2 linked regions of the Elephas maximus indicus genome follow. The protein of the gene in region 2 purifies or fractionates together with the protein of the main gene of each other region. This does not show direct contact. Links are inferred from orthologs where the notes say so. Each region holds a gene or a part of one and is shown on either strand. Other genes may lie near its edges.

Region 1 (7,351 bases), on a different chromosome or scaffold from region 2:
AGAAAACTACAGTACACTTCTGCAAGAAACCAAAAGAGACTTACATAAGTGGAAGAACGTACCTTGCTCGTGGATAGGAAGACTTAACATTATAAAAATGTTCTACCAAAAGTGATCTATACATTTAATCCAATTCCGATTCAAATCCCAACGACATTCTTTAATGAGATGGAGAGACAAATCACCAACTTCATATGGAAGGGAAAGAGGCCCTGGATAAATAAGGCATTACTGAAAAAGAAGAAGAAAGTGGGAGGCCTTACTTTACCTGATTTTAGAACCTATTATACCGCCACAGTAGTCAAAACAGGCTGGTACTGGTACAACAACAGATACATGGACCAATGGAACAGAACTGAGAATCCAGGCATAAATCCATCCACATATGAGCAGTTGGTATTTGACAAAGGCCCCAAAACAGTTAAATGGGAAAAAGACAGTCTTAACCGTCTTTTTTAAACAAATGGTGCTGGCATAACTGGATATCCATCTGCAAAAAACTCCGTGCACAAAAACTAACTCGAAATGGATCAAAGACCTAAATATAAAATCTAAAATGATAAAGACCATGGAAGAAAAAATATAGACAACGTTAGGAGCCCTAATACATGGCATAAGCAGTATACAAAACGCTATAAAGAATGTAGAAGAAAAACTAGGTAAGTGGGAGCTCCTAAAAATCATCCAAAGACTTTGCTCATCCAAAGACTTCACCAAAAGAGTAAAAAGATTACCTATGGACTGGGAAAAAGTTTTTAGCTATGACATTTCTGATCAGCATCTGATCTCTAAAATCTACATGATACTGCAAAAACTCAACTGCAAAAAGACAAATAACCCAATTAAAAAATGGGCAAAGGACATGAATAGACACTTCACTGAAGAAGACATTCAGGTAGCTAACAGATACATGAGGAAATGCTCACGATCATTAGCCATTAGAGAAATGCAAATCAAAACTACAATGAGATTCCATCTCACTCCAACAAGGCTGGCATTAATCCAAAAAACACAAAATAATAAATATTGGAGAGGATGTGGAGAGTCTAGAACACTTATACACTGCTGGTGGGAATGTAAAATGGTACAATCACTTTGGAAATTGATTTGGCACTTCCTTAAAAAGCTAGAAATGGAACTACTATACGATCCAGCAATCCCACTCCTTGGAATATAAAACCACCACTGCCGTCGAATCGATTCCGACTCATAGCGACCCTATAGGACAGAGTAGAATAAGAATATATCCTAGAGAAATAAGAGCCTTTACAAGAACAGATATATGCACACCCATATTTATTGCAGCACTGTTTACAATAGCAAAAAGATGGAAGCAACCAAGGTGCCCATCAACGGATGAAATGGATAAATAAATTACGGTATATTCACAATGGAATACTACGCATGGATAAAGAACAGTGAGGAATCTGTGAAACATTTCATAACATGGAGGAACCTGGAAAGTATTACGCTGAGTGAAATTAGTCAGTTGCAAAAGGACAAATATTGTATAAGACCACTATTATAAGAACTTGAGAAATAGTTTAAACTGAGAAGAAAACATTCTTTTGTGGTTACGAGACGGGGGAGGGAGGGAGGCTGGGAGAGGGGCATTCACTAATTAGATAGTCGATAAGAACTACTTTAGGCAAAGGGAAAGACAGCACACAATATAGGGGAGGTCAGCACAACTGGACTAAACCAAAAGCAAAGAAGTTTCCTGAATAAACTGAATGCTTCGAAAGCCAGTATAGCAGGGGCAGGGTTCTGGTGACCATGGTTTCAGGGGACATCTTGGCATAATGAAATCTGTTAAGAAAACATTCTGCATCCCACTTTGGAAAGTGGTGTCTGGGGTCTTAAACGCTAGCAAGCGGCCATTTAAGGTCCATCAATTGGTTGCAACCCACCTGGATCAAAGGAGAATGCAGAGCACCAAGGATACAAGGTAATTACAAGCCCAAGAGACAGAAAAGACCACATAAACCAGAGACTACATCAACCTGAGACCAGAAGAACTAGATGGTGCCCAGCTACGCTGCCCTGACAGGGAACACAACAGAGAACCCCTGAGGGAGCAGGAGAGCAGTGGATGCAGACCCCAAATTCTCATAGGACCAGACTTAATGGTTTGACTGAGACTAGAAGGACGCCCGTGGTGATGGCCCCCAGACCTTCTGTTGGCCCAGGACAGGAACCATTCCCAAAGCCAAGTCTTCAGACATGGATTGGACTAGACAATGGGTTGGAGAGGGATGGTGGTGAGGAGTGAGCTTCTTGGATCAGGTGGACACTTGAGACTATGTTGGCATCTCCTGCCTGGAGAGGAGATGAGAGGGTGGAGGGGGTTAGAAGCTGGCGAAACAGACATGAAAAGAGAGAGCTGAGGGAGAGAGCTGGCTGTCTCATTTGGGGGAGAGTAATTGGGAGTGTGTAGCTAGGTGTATATGGGTTTTTGTGTGATAGGCTGACGTGATTTGTAAACTTTCAGTTAAAGCACAATAAAAAGTATATATATATAAAAAATGCTGGTCCTTGGATCTCACACCCAGAAGTTCTGTTATAATTGTTCTGGGGTGCAGCCTGGGCTTCAGAATTTTTAACAGCTCCTCAGGTGATTCTAAAGTGCAGCCAAGGTTGAGCACCCGTGTTCTAGAACAGTGCTTCTCAAAATGTAAAATTCATGCAAATCACCTGAGGGTCTTTTATAATGCAGATTTTGATTCAGTAGGTCTGAGGTGGGGTCCAGGATTCTGAATTTCTTGCCTATGCCTGTTCGCTGCAAAAAGTACTAATGGGGATCAGGGGAGGGGATTACTTACTGTCTGGGGAGAAAGTGGATTAGGTAAAATAACTGGTATCTCAGTGGTGGCCTGTGCATGGGTTTTGGAGTTAGAATAATCTTAACTTTTCACACCAAAATGAATCTTTTCCTCCAACAATTTTAGCTATCCTCTCCAATGATCTTATCTCTGAAACCCCAACTTTCACCATCTTATGCACCACCCTTACCTTTATAACTCATACCTCCATTATACAAATTCTTAGATTACATACTGATTTCCAATCCATTGTTCTCCTGACTTTTATCTTTCTACCAACTTCCCTATCACCATTCCTCCTAGCCTCCTGGATTCCATGATGCATCATTACAACCACTTCCTTGTAAATACCCTGACTTGCACTCCCTCTGTGCGAAGTGTTAAATCCACCTATGTTTTCCATGTCTGCATTCTCTTGGCCTGAAAGTTACTTGAGAACCCTGATGCCAATGTCATAATCTTTCTCCCAGTTCACATTCTCACTCAGAAGATACTTCAGAACTTTTTCTCGCTCCTCCGACTTCTAATACCCCTTCCTGCCTTTCTCTCAGCTCATATTTTATTAAGAAAACTGATACGATCAGGTAAGAACTTATTTTCCAACCCATACAAAAATCACCTGCGTCTGAATCCTTCTCTTCTTTTCCTGCCGTTAAAAGGATGGTAATCTGGGTTCATTTCAAAGGCATATCCCCCTCCATGTGCTTTGAATCCATCCCTTCATCCTCCTTGATAACTTCATTCCTGTAGGTATTCCCTTTTTCTCCCACATCAACAATTTCTTTCTCTACTAGATCAATCTCTACTGTTCACCACTCCCTTCCCCCTCTAAGACAAAAACAAAACCTCAAGAACATCTTTCGTTCCTCAAAACACTCTAGTCTTTCTGCCTTATTACATCTCTGAAACTGCTCTTTCTCCTTTTTTATTTCTTTGGGGCGCTCATCACTATCTGTAAGAATTTTATTCATTTGTCATCGCCTCACTAGAATTTAGCCTCATTAAGTGTCGACTATTTTTTTTTTATTGTCTACCTTGTTCACCTGCCTACCTCATAGTCAAGCACTCAATAAATATATGCTAAATGAGCGCCAACTGTACTTATTTCTGTGAATAGTCATAAACAATCAGGAATTGGCATTTTGCGTTTGTGTATTTTTACCGGAAAGGCAGAGCACTCAACGGAAAGGAAGTAAAAGAGCGACAAAGTACACGTCTTTAATCCAGGCTGCCCATGCCTTGGTGTGGCTACGGTATGGAGAAATGTGTCAAGACTCCAGAGCCTGAGGCTTTCCTTTTTCTGAACTATAGTCTTTCCTGAAAATAGTGTTGGACCCTTAACCTAATGGTTCACTCTATTTTTTAGTAAACGATTAACCTCAGATTTTATTTCTATAATCGCTCTTCTAGCCAAGTAGCAGCTAGCAACGGCCTTGGGGGAAGAAACCTAACCTTGCTGCGCAAGCGCCTAAAGTTTTCCAGTGCGCATGCGCAATTGAAACAGCGCGGCGGGAAGTCTAGCGCAGGCGCGTTTGGCCAGCTGCTAAGTGGGGAGAGCCGGGAGCCGGCGACCCAGGCATGTGGGGAGCCACGGAAGTCGTACTCCCTTAAACCGTGAGTTTCCAACGGTTTGTTCTTTCTGAGGGACTAGAAATGAATTCGGAATTCGTGGCTAGTCTTGTCGCAGTGCAGTACCCCCACCCCTTCTGGTCCCGCTGGCCTGCGGCGGGAAAATTGCGCGTCTGCGCACTAAGCATCCGCTTCGTCTCTGGTCTGAGCGGAAGGTCCTGCCCTACTGAGCTCGCGGCCGGATAATGTCCATTCATTGCCCATTCCCTTCCTCCGCCCGCCGCTAGTGGCTCGTGGCCGTATGAGTTCTCTGCCAACTCGCGTGAGTCCCCGTACTAGCTTCCTGGAGTTCCGTCTCAGTGGTCACAGTTTCCTCCTTCAGTCCCCTTCCTCAGGTCAAACCGCTCCGGGCACCCCTTCCACGCCCAAATACAAACGTCAGCAGTTCCCCACCACCCTTCCCATCGCCGCCAGCTGCTGATGTCCCCCGACATGACATTCTCCCTTCGGCCCCCTGCCGGGATTTCTGGGAGGTGAAGGTAAAAGCAAATGGAATCCTTAGAAATAGTTCACAGTTTCTCTTTGGGGATTTGAACATACAGTGCTTTTAAATGTTTGTCCCTTTGGAGACAGTGGCATTTTTTGGTGCTTGCTTCGGTGAGTGATTTAAATTTCTCATCTTCTCTAGCATTCTAATTTTCCCAGCTGCTTTGCTACCCCTGTGGACATGACCTCTTAGCTGGCACTTTACATCCCAGTTTTGTGATGGAGGCGTCTTTGGGGATTCAGATGGATGAGCCAGTGGCCTTTTCTCCCCCGTGTAACCGGCTTCAGGTTGATGGCTCGTTAAAAAAAGATGAGCAGAGTTTTAAACTTCCAGGTATGTGTTTCATTCCAAAGATGTACTTAGAGGTAACAATTCTGAGTTTGTTGCTTTAAAAAAAAAATAACTCGAATCTTTAAAGTGAGTTGTATATTTGCGTAGGAACATTTTACAAATCAGTAAAGCTTTATAAGATCTAGATTTAGGATTGGATTGCAGTTTAGAAAGAGGATTGTAATCCTGTTTTGTCATTGTACAGATGAAGTTGCTAAAGTCTGAACAATTACCCATTGCCACCGAGCCTTTTCCAACTCATAGCAACACTATAGAACAGAATAGAACTGCCCCGTAGAGTTTCCAGTGAGCAGCTGGTGGATTTGAACTGCCAGCCTTTTGGTTAGCGGAAGAGCTCTTAACCACTGTACCACCAGGGCTCCAAAGTCTAAACGTTAGTGACTGCCTGATAACACCAAGTTTGTTAATGCCCAACCTAGAATTTGCCTCTTCCTAGACCTATGGTCTTATCTCTTCTCACTGTATTGTCTTAAGCTTGACACTGGAGGGATCTTTACTAAAGTATTCAGAGGCAGAATTCACTGACACAAATACATGAAATGTTTGTAGCAACAATAAAGCACAAAACCTGTGGGAGCACCGGCCGCACCCAGTGGTGGCTCAGTGGTAGAATTCTTGCCTTCCATGCAAGAGACCTTGGTTTGATTGCACCGCATATGCAGCCACCATTCCTGTCAGCACAGCGAATGTTTGCATGTTGCTGTGATGATGAACAGGTTTCAGCAGAGCTTCCAGACTAAAACAGACTAGGAAGAAAGGCCTACTTCAGAAAATCAGCCAGTTAAAACTCTGTGGTTCACAGTGGCCTGATCCGTAGTCAATCATGGGGATGGCACAGGACTGGGCGGCATTTTGTTACTGTTGTACATGGGCCATTATAAATTGGGGGCTGATTGCATGTCAGCTAACAACAACAATCCTAGATTTTATTGAAAAATACAGTATAATTTACTTGATTGTTAATCTATTTGAATAAAAATGTGTTCCAAGTAATATATTTTTGCTCTTTTCCTGCCACTCCAAGTGCTTTGGTGGGGGAAGAAGAAAATTATGGTCTCATCTGAACATGTCTGTTACTAAATCTGTTAAGCATCATTTTTATTGAACACCTGTACATGTTGGAAGACAATTCTCCATTAAACTGTCATGGCAGCTAACAACAATGTATCTCAGTGTGTATCATGAAGCATTGTTTGAATTTATCCCAGACCTTGGGGTGAGGAGGAGAGGGTCAAACAATATCTAGTCTTGTACACTAAAATGTTTGTCTTCATTCCTGTTTTAGCACAGTGCCTGGGACATAGTAGGCATTCAGTAAATATTTGTTAAATGGAGGAGTTCCAGTTAACTGTTATTATTATTTTTTTTTTTTCCTTAAAAGCTGGCTAAGTCTTTTCCATCTTTCTTTTAAGTGAATTTAGTGTTTGTCCAAAGCCGATTAGTTTTGGCCTTTTGTCCATGCTCAGTGTATACTTATGCTTCCTGACTGAAAGTAAGCTCATTTTTGGTCTCAAAATGAGTACATTTCGTGGGTTCCCTAATTTTGGTGATGAATCCAGGTTACCTATGCTCAAAACTGTAGAGTTGTTACGGAGTTAATGCTTTGTATTTGCTTCCTAATCTAGTTCACCCAGCATTGTCTTCTTTCTTTTTAATGTGTATAGCATTGCCTCTCCATTCCCTCTGCCACCACATTAATTCATCCCTTTATCACATTGCTCCTTAATTGTAATGAAGTTTCTTACCTAAACTGCCTGCTTTCACTTCCTTTCCACACTCCAGTTCATCTCATACACTGGTACTAATAATCTTAAAATGCCCCTTTTGTCCAGTTGAATGAATGGTGTTCCTCTTCCATTTTTCTTAAGATTACCTGTATTTAACAATTCAGCCTTATTAATCATTTGCCACATCATTGTGCACTGCCTTGTGTTGTTATTCCTGTATTTTGAATCTCTTCAATGTATACTATAAGCTCCTTGAAGACAGTGTCTCCCATAGCTACTGACTTATGTTGTGTCCTAGGCAGGGTGCAAAGGATGAATCTGATTTGGTTCTAGTA
Region 2 (7,234 bases):
AATCCACCAGCTGCTCCTTGGAAACCCTATGGGGCAGTTCTACTCTGTCCTATAGGGTCTCTTTGAGTCTGAAATTGACTCAATGGCAATGGGTTTGTTTTTTTATTTGTTTTGTTTTGATGTTCCAGGCAGGTTCTTTACTCCAGGGATATAGCAGTGAATGAAACAAAGTCCTTATTCCTTTGTTGCTTACATTCTATATGGGAATATAGGCAATAAACAAGTAAACAAATAAGCAGGATACTTGCTGATAGCAGTAAGTGCTATGAAAGACATAAACCAAGGTGGTGGGGCTGACAAGGGGTGGGGTCAGAGAGGTCTTATCTGAAAAAGTAATACTTGATCTGGTGCCTAAAACAAAAGAGAAGACCTGGGAAATGAAACTATTAATGAAAGGGTCTAAAGCAGGAACAAGCTTAGGTTGTTGAAGAAGGAGAAAGAAGGTATGGTCAGAGGGGCAAAATGGAACTCCACTGGGAGTTTTTTTTTTTTTAATTTTTATTGAGCTTTAAGTGGACGTTTACAAATCAAGTTAGTCTGTCACATATAAGCTTATATACACCTTACTCCATACTCCCGCTTAATCTCCCCCTAATGAGTCAGCCCTTCCAGTCTCTCCTTTTGTGACAATTTTGCCAGTTTCTAACCCTCTCTACCCTCCTATCTCCCCTCCAGACAGGACATGCCACTGGGAGTTTTTTAAAGGGAGGGTAATTTAATCTGTATCAGGATAGGATAGGTAGGCAGTTCTAAATGTTTTGGTCTTACACCCCTTTATATTCTTAAAACATTGAGGATCTCAAACAGCTTTTTTTGTTCGTGTATAGATTAATTATTATTGCTGTGTAGAAAAAATCACCTCAAAACTTAGTGGCTTCAATTCAATTGTGGATTTATTCATTCGTTTTCTCTCAATTTCTATGAGTCAGGAAATTCTAGCAATTTGGGGGTTTCTGGCTTGGGAATCTCTTGTGAGGTTGCAGTCATCTGAAGGCTTGAGTAGGCCTGGGAGATTTCCTTCAAGGTAGCTCACTCATATGAGTGGCAAGTTGGTGCTGGCTGTTAGCAGGAAGCCTGAGTTACCTCTCCACATGAACCTCTCCATAGGCATACTGAGTGCCTTTGTGTCATGGTGGCCGACTTCCACCAGAGCAGATGATCCAAGAAACAGCAATATGGAAGTCATGATGTCTTTTATGACCTAGCCACAGAAGTCACACACTATCATTTCCTCAATCCATTGTGAGCATACATACCAGGAGGTGGGGATCACTGAGGGCCATCTTGGAGACTGGCTACCACAATGTGGGTTGCATTTATTGATATTTACAGAATTAGAAATTAAAATATAGAAAGTTTTAAAATATTAACATTCATTTCAAAACAAGAAGCCCACTATATGTTAACAATGTATTTTTAATGAAAATAGTTTTCAAAACAAAAATAATTAGAAGAATGTCATTGTTTTATATTTTTTCAAATCTCTTTAATATATCTGGTTTAAGAGAAGACAGCAGCATTCTCATTTCTGCTTCTGCATACTCCACTGAACACTATGACAGAATGAGTGAAAAACGGCAAGTTACATCTTAATTTTATTATAAAAATAGTTTTGACTTTGTAGAACCTCCTGAAAGTGTCTTGGGGACCTCAGACTACACTTTAAGAGCCTGGAGCTAGGTTATGATATAGTAACAAATGACCCTAAAATCTCAGTGGCTTCCTACAACAAAGGTTTATTTCTTGCTCATGCTACAAATGCATTATGGATTTGTATCTATTCCATGACATCTTCGTTCATCTTCGTTAAGGAACCCAAGTTGACAAACAGCCTGTCTTAGTTATCTAGTGCTGCTGTACCAGAAATACCACAAGTAGATGGCTTTAACAAAGAGAAATTTATTCTCTCGCTGCTTAGGAGGCTAGAAGTCTGAATTCAGGGAGCTAGCTCCAGAGGAAGGCTCTCTCTGTAGCCTCTGGGGGAAGATCCTTGTCATCCATCTTCCCCAGTTAAGGAGCCTCTCAGCGCAGGGACCCTGGGTCCAAAGGACATGCTATTCTCCTGGCTCTTGTTGCTTGGCGGTATGAGGTACGTGTTCTCTCTGCTGAATTCTCTCGTTATATCGTTTAGATTGACTCAAGATACAATCTAATCCTGCAGATTGAGTCCTGCCTCATTAACATAACTGCCACTAATCCTGGCAGTTACATTATTAACAGAACTTATTAACATCATACCCATCGCTGTCAATTCCAACTCATAGCGACCCTATAGGATAGAGTAGAACTGCCCAATAGAGTTTCCAAGGGGCACCTGGTGAATTTGAACTGCCGACCTTTCAGTTAGCAGACATAGCTCTTAACCACTATGTCACCAGGGTTACTTATTCACATCATAGAAGTTAGGATTTATAACACATAGAATAATCACATCAGATGACAAAATGGTGCAGAATCACACAATAGTGGGAATCATGGCCTAACAAAGTTGACACATATTTTTAGGGGACACAATTCAGTCCATAACACAGCCTCTACCTGGGACACTGCTAGTCATTGTGACAGGAGGAAAAGAGAACATGGTGAACCACTCTGGCTCTTAAAGTTTCTTCTTCAGAATGTCACTTTTTCTATCAGCCAAAGCTAAGTCACATGGTCAGGCCTGAGTTCAGGGCGGGCCCCCACTGGAAGGGACACCAAATACACGTGAACGGTAATATACTCCACCATGGTGTTTTATAAATATCACTCTGGCTGATTCATGAAGAATGGGTTATATGGGAAGAGGTAGAAGGCAGTTAAGAGTAGAAGTCGTGTTAAGAATTGACTGCAGTACTTCAGGTAAGAAATGAGAGTGGCTTGGAGTAGGGTGGTAGCAGTGGTCTGATTCAAGATGTTACTACGGAGGTAGAGTTAGTAGGACTTGTTTTTTGAAGTGGGAGTGGGATAGGAAAAATACTGAAAGATAACTTCTAGGTTTTTGGTTTGAGCAATTGGGTGGATAATGATGCTATTTATTGAGATGAGGAAGACTGGGGAAAGAAGAGGTGTTTGTTTTTTGGCAGGGGAAGGAAGGAACAAATTTCTGTTTTGAACATGTTAATGCTCAGATACTTGCTAGATTTCCAAGTGGAAATGTTCAGGGGGCACTGGACATAGTAGATCTCTAAGTCTGGGGCTCAGGGGAGAGGTCAGAAATAGAGACAGAAATTTTGCAGGCATTAGTATAGAGCTGAATTGTAAAGCCTTGGAGCTGGATGAGGTCTCCTAGGGAGTGCCAACAGGGAAGAGAAGAGGGCCAAGATCTAAGTGTTGGAAATACACCAACATTGGACCAGTGGCGTCGGATCCAGCAAAGGAGATTGAGGAGGAGCCATTGAGGCAAGGTGAAAACCAGGATAGTGCTGGGTAGTGAAAACCAAGAGAAGAAAGTATTTTATAACTTTGATTGTCAATGTTATAGAAGTTGGATATCATAAGGATAACAAAGTGACCATAGGATTTGGCAATGTGGAAGTCATTATTGATCTGGACAAGAAAAGTTTTAGGGGGGGTGAGGATCAAAGTCTAATTACAGTGGGTTGAAGAAAAGATGGGAGGCGAGGAATGAAGACACCTCTTTGTGTGTGTGTGTGCATTCTTTTTTTTTTTAATTGTGCTTTAAGTGAAAGTTTACAGTTAAAGTCAGTTTCTTATACAAAAATTTACACACTGTTATATGACCCCAGTTGCTCTCCCTACAATGTGACAGCACACTCCTCCTCTCCACCCTTTATTTCCCATGTCCATTCAACCAGCTCCTGTCCCCATCTGCCTTCAAGACAACCTCTTCAGCAGTTTTTTGTTAGGTAAGTGAGTGGAGAAAAGGGACGGGGACAAAGGTGTGAAGATGAAATGATGTGTACATGAAATCTTTACGTAAAGTGTAAACGCTCTGTAATCGTTAGGCTTATTTTATTATTCATACTCCTAGACATTTAAACCCAGCTCAGAGGGCACTGGGTTTTTGGTTCAGGGTAAATTCATTAATGCGCAGAATACCTCCAGCCAATGAAAACCCGAAAATGAGAGTCAGCTGGAGAAAGCTAGCTAACAATAACGGAGGCGGAGAAGTGGTGGGATTGTGAATTGTCCTCCCAAGGCCACCGTAGGGCAGATCTCGTAGCTATTATGGTGTTTTAGGGGTGGAGCTAGTAGGAAATTTAAACCGAAGCCGCGGCAGAGGGCGCCTAGAGAATGATGCAGAGGAACACCTGGGTTTTGGGAGTCTGAAAGAGATCATGGAGCCGGAGGATGTGCTACGCCGGCCTTAAGGAAGGACTACGGAAGCCGAAAAGGAGCCAAGAGTGTGAGAAGGGAGCTAGGAACGGGTACGGATGCCGGGAAGGGGAGAAAGTTGTAAGAAGGCAGGCGGAAGGGGTCAGAAGAGTTGAAGACGGGGTGGGGAGTCAGAAAGTGGACGTAGACATTGAGAAACGGTTAAGTGCAGAAACGGAGGAGGGTACAGAAGCCGTAAAGGCGGGGGGGAGGTCACAGGAATATAGGTGATTCAGCAGGTCTCGGGAGTTGAGGGGACAGAGGTCCAAAGGGAGCGAAGGAACTAGAAGGAACGGGAATTGAAAAGATGTACAGCGGGTGGCCAAGGGCTAACACGAGTTGAGGGAACAGAGTGCGAAAGGGGGCGGTGGGACTGAGGACACGCTCATGGAAGGAGACGTGGGAGTTGAGTGGGTTGGGGTGGAGCTGAGTCTTGCTGTCCTTGGGAGCCGAATTGGGAACTTTGGGCATTGTGCGGGTTTTGGGGGGCGGGAACGGTGGACGGTCGAAGGCTAGAGAAGGTGGTTGAGCTTTGTCCTCCTTTCTCAGGCGACTATTTGCTCGAGCCGGGGAGTTCCATGGCTGAGGCTAGGCTCCGGGTTCCGGACCTAGGTAGGTAACAGATTAAAACTAGGGATGCGAGGTCAAATTTGCTACTCCTGCCCTAGAGTCTCTTGGGAGAATAAGAGAAATTTTAGTCCTGTTTGGGTTGTCAAACTCCTTAGTAGTTTTGTGGAGGAGAGGATCATTTAGGAATTCATGGTAAAGGTCAAGCGAGAGCTTTTAGTCTGGTATTATGGACAAAGTAGGCAGATGGAGAGTCAGGATATAGTAATTTGTTAAAACTCATGTTCATGGTTATTTTCACCATAAATTTCTTAAGTTTATTGATAAACTTAAAATACTCCCACCGAGTTAGGTAAGTATTATAGCATATAGCAGTGCTTCCCCTTCTTTCTTTTACTATCTATCCAGTTTTAGTTCTGATTGTTACAAATACAGGTTTTGTTGTTGTTGCCTTTTACACAGTAGTAACATTTACTAAGTTTTTTTCGTCCTTCCCAGTCTTGTTGCTTTCTTCTGGATCTGTTTCTCTTTTTCCTGGGGAACTTTGTCCAAGACTGTTTCAAAAGAGGACTCTGTGTGATAAACTTTCTGAGGCTTGCGTGCCTGAGAATATATTTCACTGCTGCATTAAAATTCTTGAGTCAATGTTTTTTCAACACATTGAAAAATTACAATATTTTCTTCTTACACAAAGTAGATACTGTTGAGAAATGATATTAATCTGACTCTTTTTCCTTTGTAAATGACCTGCTTTTTCTCTTTAGAAAAATTGAGACTATTCTTTCTGTTTGTTCTTAAAATTCACTATGATATGACTGTGTCTGGATTTGGGAGGGTTTTTATTTTTCATTATTATTACAATCTTATGCTTACATTGTTTAAAATAACCAAGGTCTGTCACAAAACAAAACATTCTTCCGCTCTTCCTTTCATACCTCGTGATTCCCACTCCCTAGGGTGTGACTACAGCTTTTTTAGCTGTTTATTCTAGTATTTTTTTTTTCTAAATAGCATGTTCATACTGTTTTTTGTTATTGTTGTTTTCCATTTTTAATTTTATCTATTGGCTTTCTGCTATGGAAAGTAAAGATTTTTTTTTTTCTGTAACCTCTGTCCCCTTCACTACACACATACATATTTCCCTCCTCCCCTCATCCTCTCAATATATTTTTGTCTAGATGATTTTTGTGTTTACGTTACTATGATTATGTAAAGGCTATTCACAGCTGAGCCATATAGTAAACTAGGAAATTTCCTTTGTTTTCTATGTGTAAATCTCCACAGTCTTTACCAGAAATAACAAACCTCCCAATACTTTTAAGCTCATCAGAAGATCCGTCAGTTTCTTCTCTGTCTCGGAGACATACCTTCTGGAACCATTTGTCTTAGCAGTCTAGTCTGGTTTAGATATGCACTAGGCCTGTTGCATGGATTTCATCCTACTATCCCTTCATCATTCCGTGAAATTCCCTTTGCCTCTTTCCTGTGTTGGATCGTCTGTGTTCTCAATTCCATATTTTCCTCTTTCGGCTCATGTCCTCACTTGGGTAGAGTACGTCCTCCAATATAGCTTCCTGAGAAAGGTACATGAGAAATAATTTTTGGAGACTTTGCAGATCTGACAATTCTTTATTCTGTCTTACATTTGAATGATAGTTTGGCTAGGTAAAGAATTCTAGGTTGGAAATTGTTTTTCCTCAGAATTTTAAAGACATGTTTCCATCTTCTTTTAGCTTTCTACCTCCTCCTGAGTATTACAAGAGCCCTAACTGTTTAGCAATGATATTATTATCTTTTTTTTTTTTTGCTTCCAAACTATTCATTGTTATTGTTTTACACAGTCGGTGATTATTTAGGTTTATGCATATATTTTTGACATTTTAGTCCTTCCTTCTGGGTTCAGTTTTCTTCTTAAGTGTATCTTTTAGAGCCCTTTAGTGAGAATCTGTTGGTGATAAATTGGGGTTTTGTTTTTTTGAAAAAATGTCTTTATTTTGCCCTCATTCTTCAATAATAGTCTAGTCGTGTATAAAATTCTAAGTCGACCTTTATTTTCTCTCAGCACATTATCACACTGGTTTCTGGGTTCCATTGTTGCTATTGAAATGCCTATGAGAGCGTTAATAGCTGTTCCTTTATAGTTAAAGCTTGGTAGGTTCCCCGCCCCCCCCATTTAGTATCCTCTCTTTGCCCTTGGTGTTTTGCATATTCACTTTGATGTTTCTAAGTGTGGATTTAGTTTTATTTTATTTCTCCTTTTTGAGATTTGATTTCTGACACCAAAGATATATGGCTTTCATCAATTTTGGACATGTCACGTAAATGGAATTATACAATATGGAGTCGTACA

The links. The genes of interacting proteins can lie anywhere in the genome.
Region 1: the proteins of DBF4B (region 2) and CDC7 purify together in Homo sapiens (affinity purification with mass spectrometry; 3 studies listed by BioGRID and IntAct, counting the BioPlex papers as one, with this or other methods). This does not show direct contact. The link is inferred for Elephas maximus indicus from reciprocal best matches to the Homo sapiens genes DBF4B and CDC7.

What each region holds. Positions count from the first base shown.
Region 1 is NC_064821.1:150,943,273-150,950,623, reverse strand, and holds the start of CDC7 (cell division cycle 7-related protein kinase), read left to right. Parts: upstream 1-4,338; 5' UTR 4,339-4,436; intron 4,437-4,464; exon of another isoform or gene 4,465-4,930; intron 4,931-5,079; 5' UTR 5,080-5,156; coding exon 5,157-5,271; intron 5,272-7,351. UniProt on the Homo sapiens protein: Kinase involved in initiation of DNA replication. Phosphorylates critical substrates that regulate the G1/S phase transition and initiation of DNA replication, such as MCM proteins and CLASPIN.
Region 2 is NC_064837.1:51,153,694-51,160,927, forward strand, and holds the start of DBF4B (protein DBF4 homolog B), read left to right. Parts: upstream 1-4,222; 5' UTR 4,223-4,370; intron 4,371-4,386; exon of another isoform or gene 4,387-4,398; intron 4,399-4,866; 5' UTR 4,867-4,895; coding exon 4,896-4,929; intron 4,930-7,234. UniProt on the Homo sapiens protein: Regulatory subunit for CDC7 which activates its kinase activity thereby playing a central role in DNA replication and cell proliferation. Required for progression of S and M phases.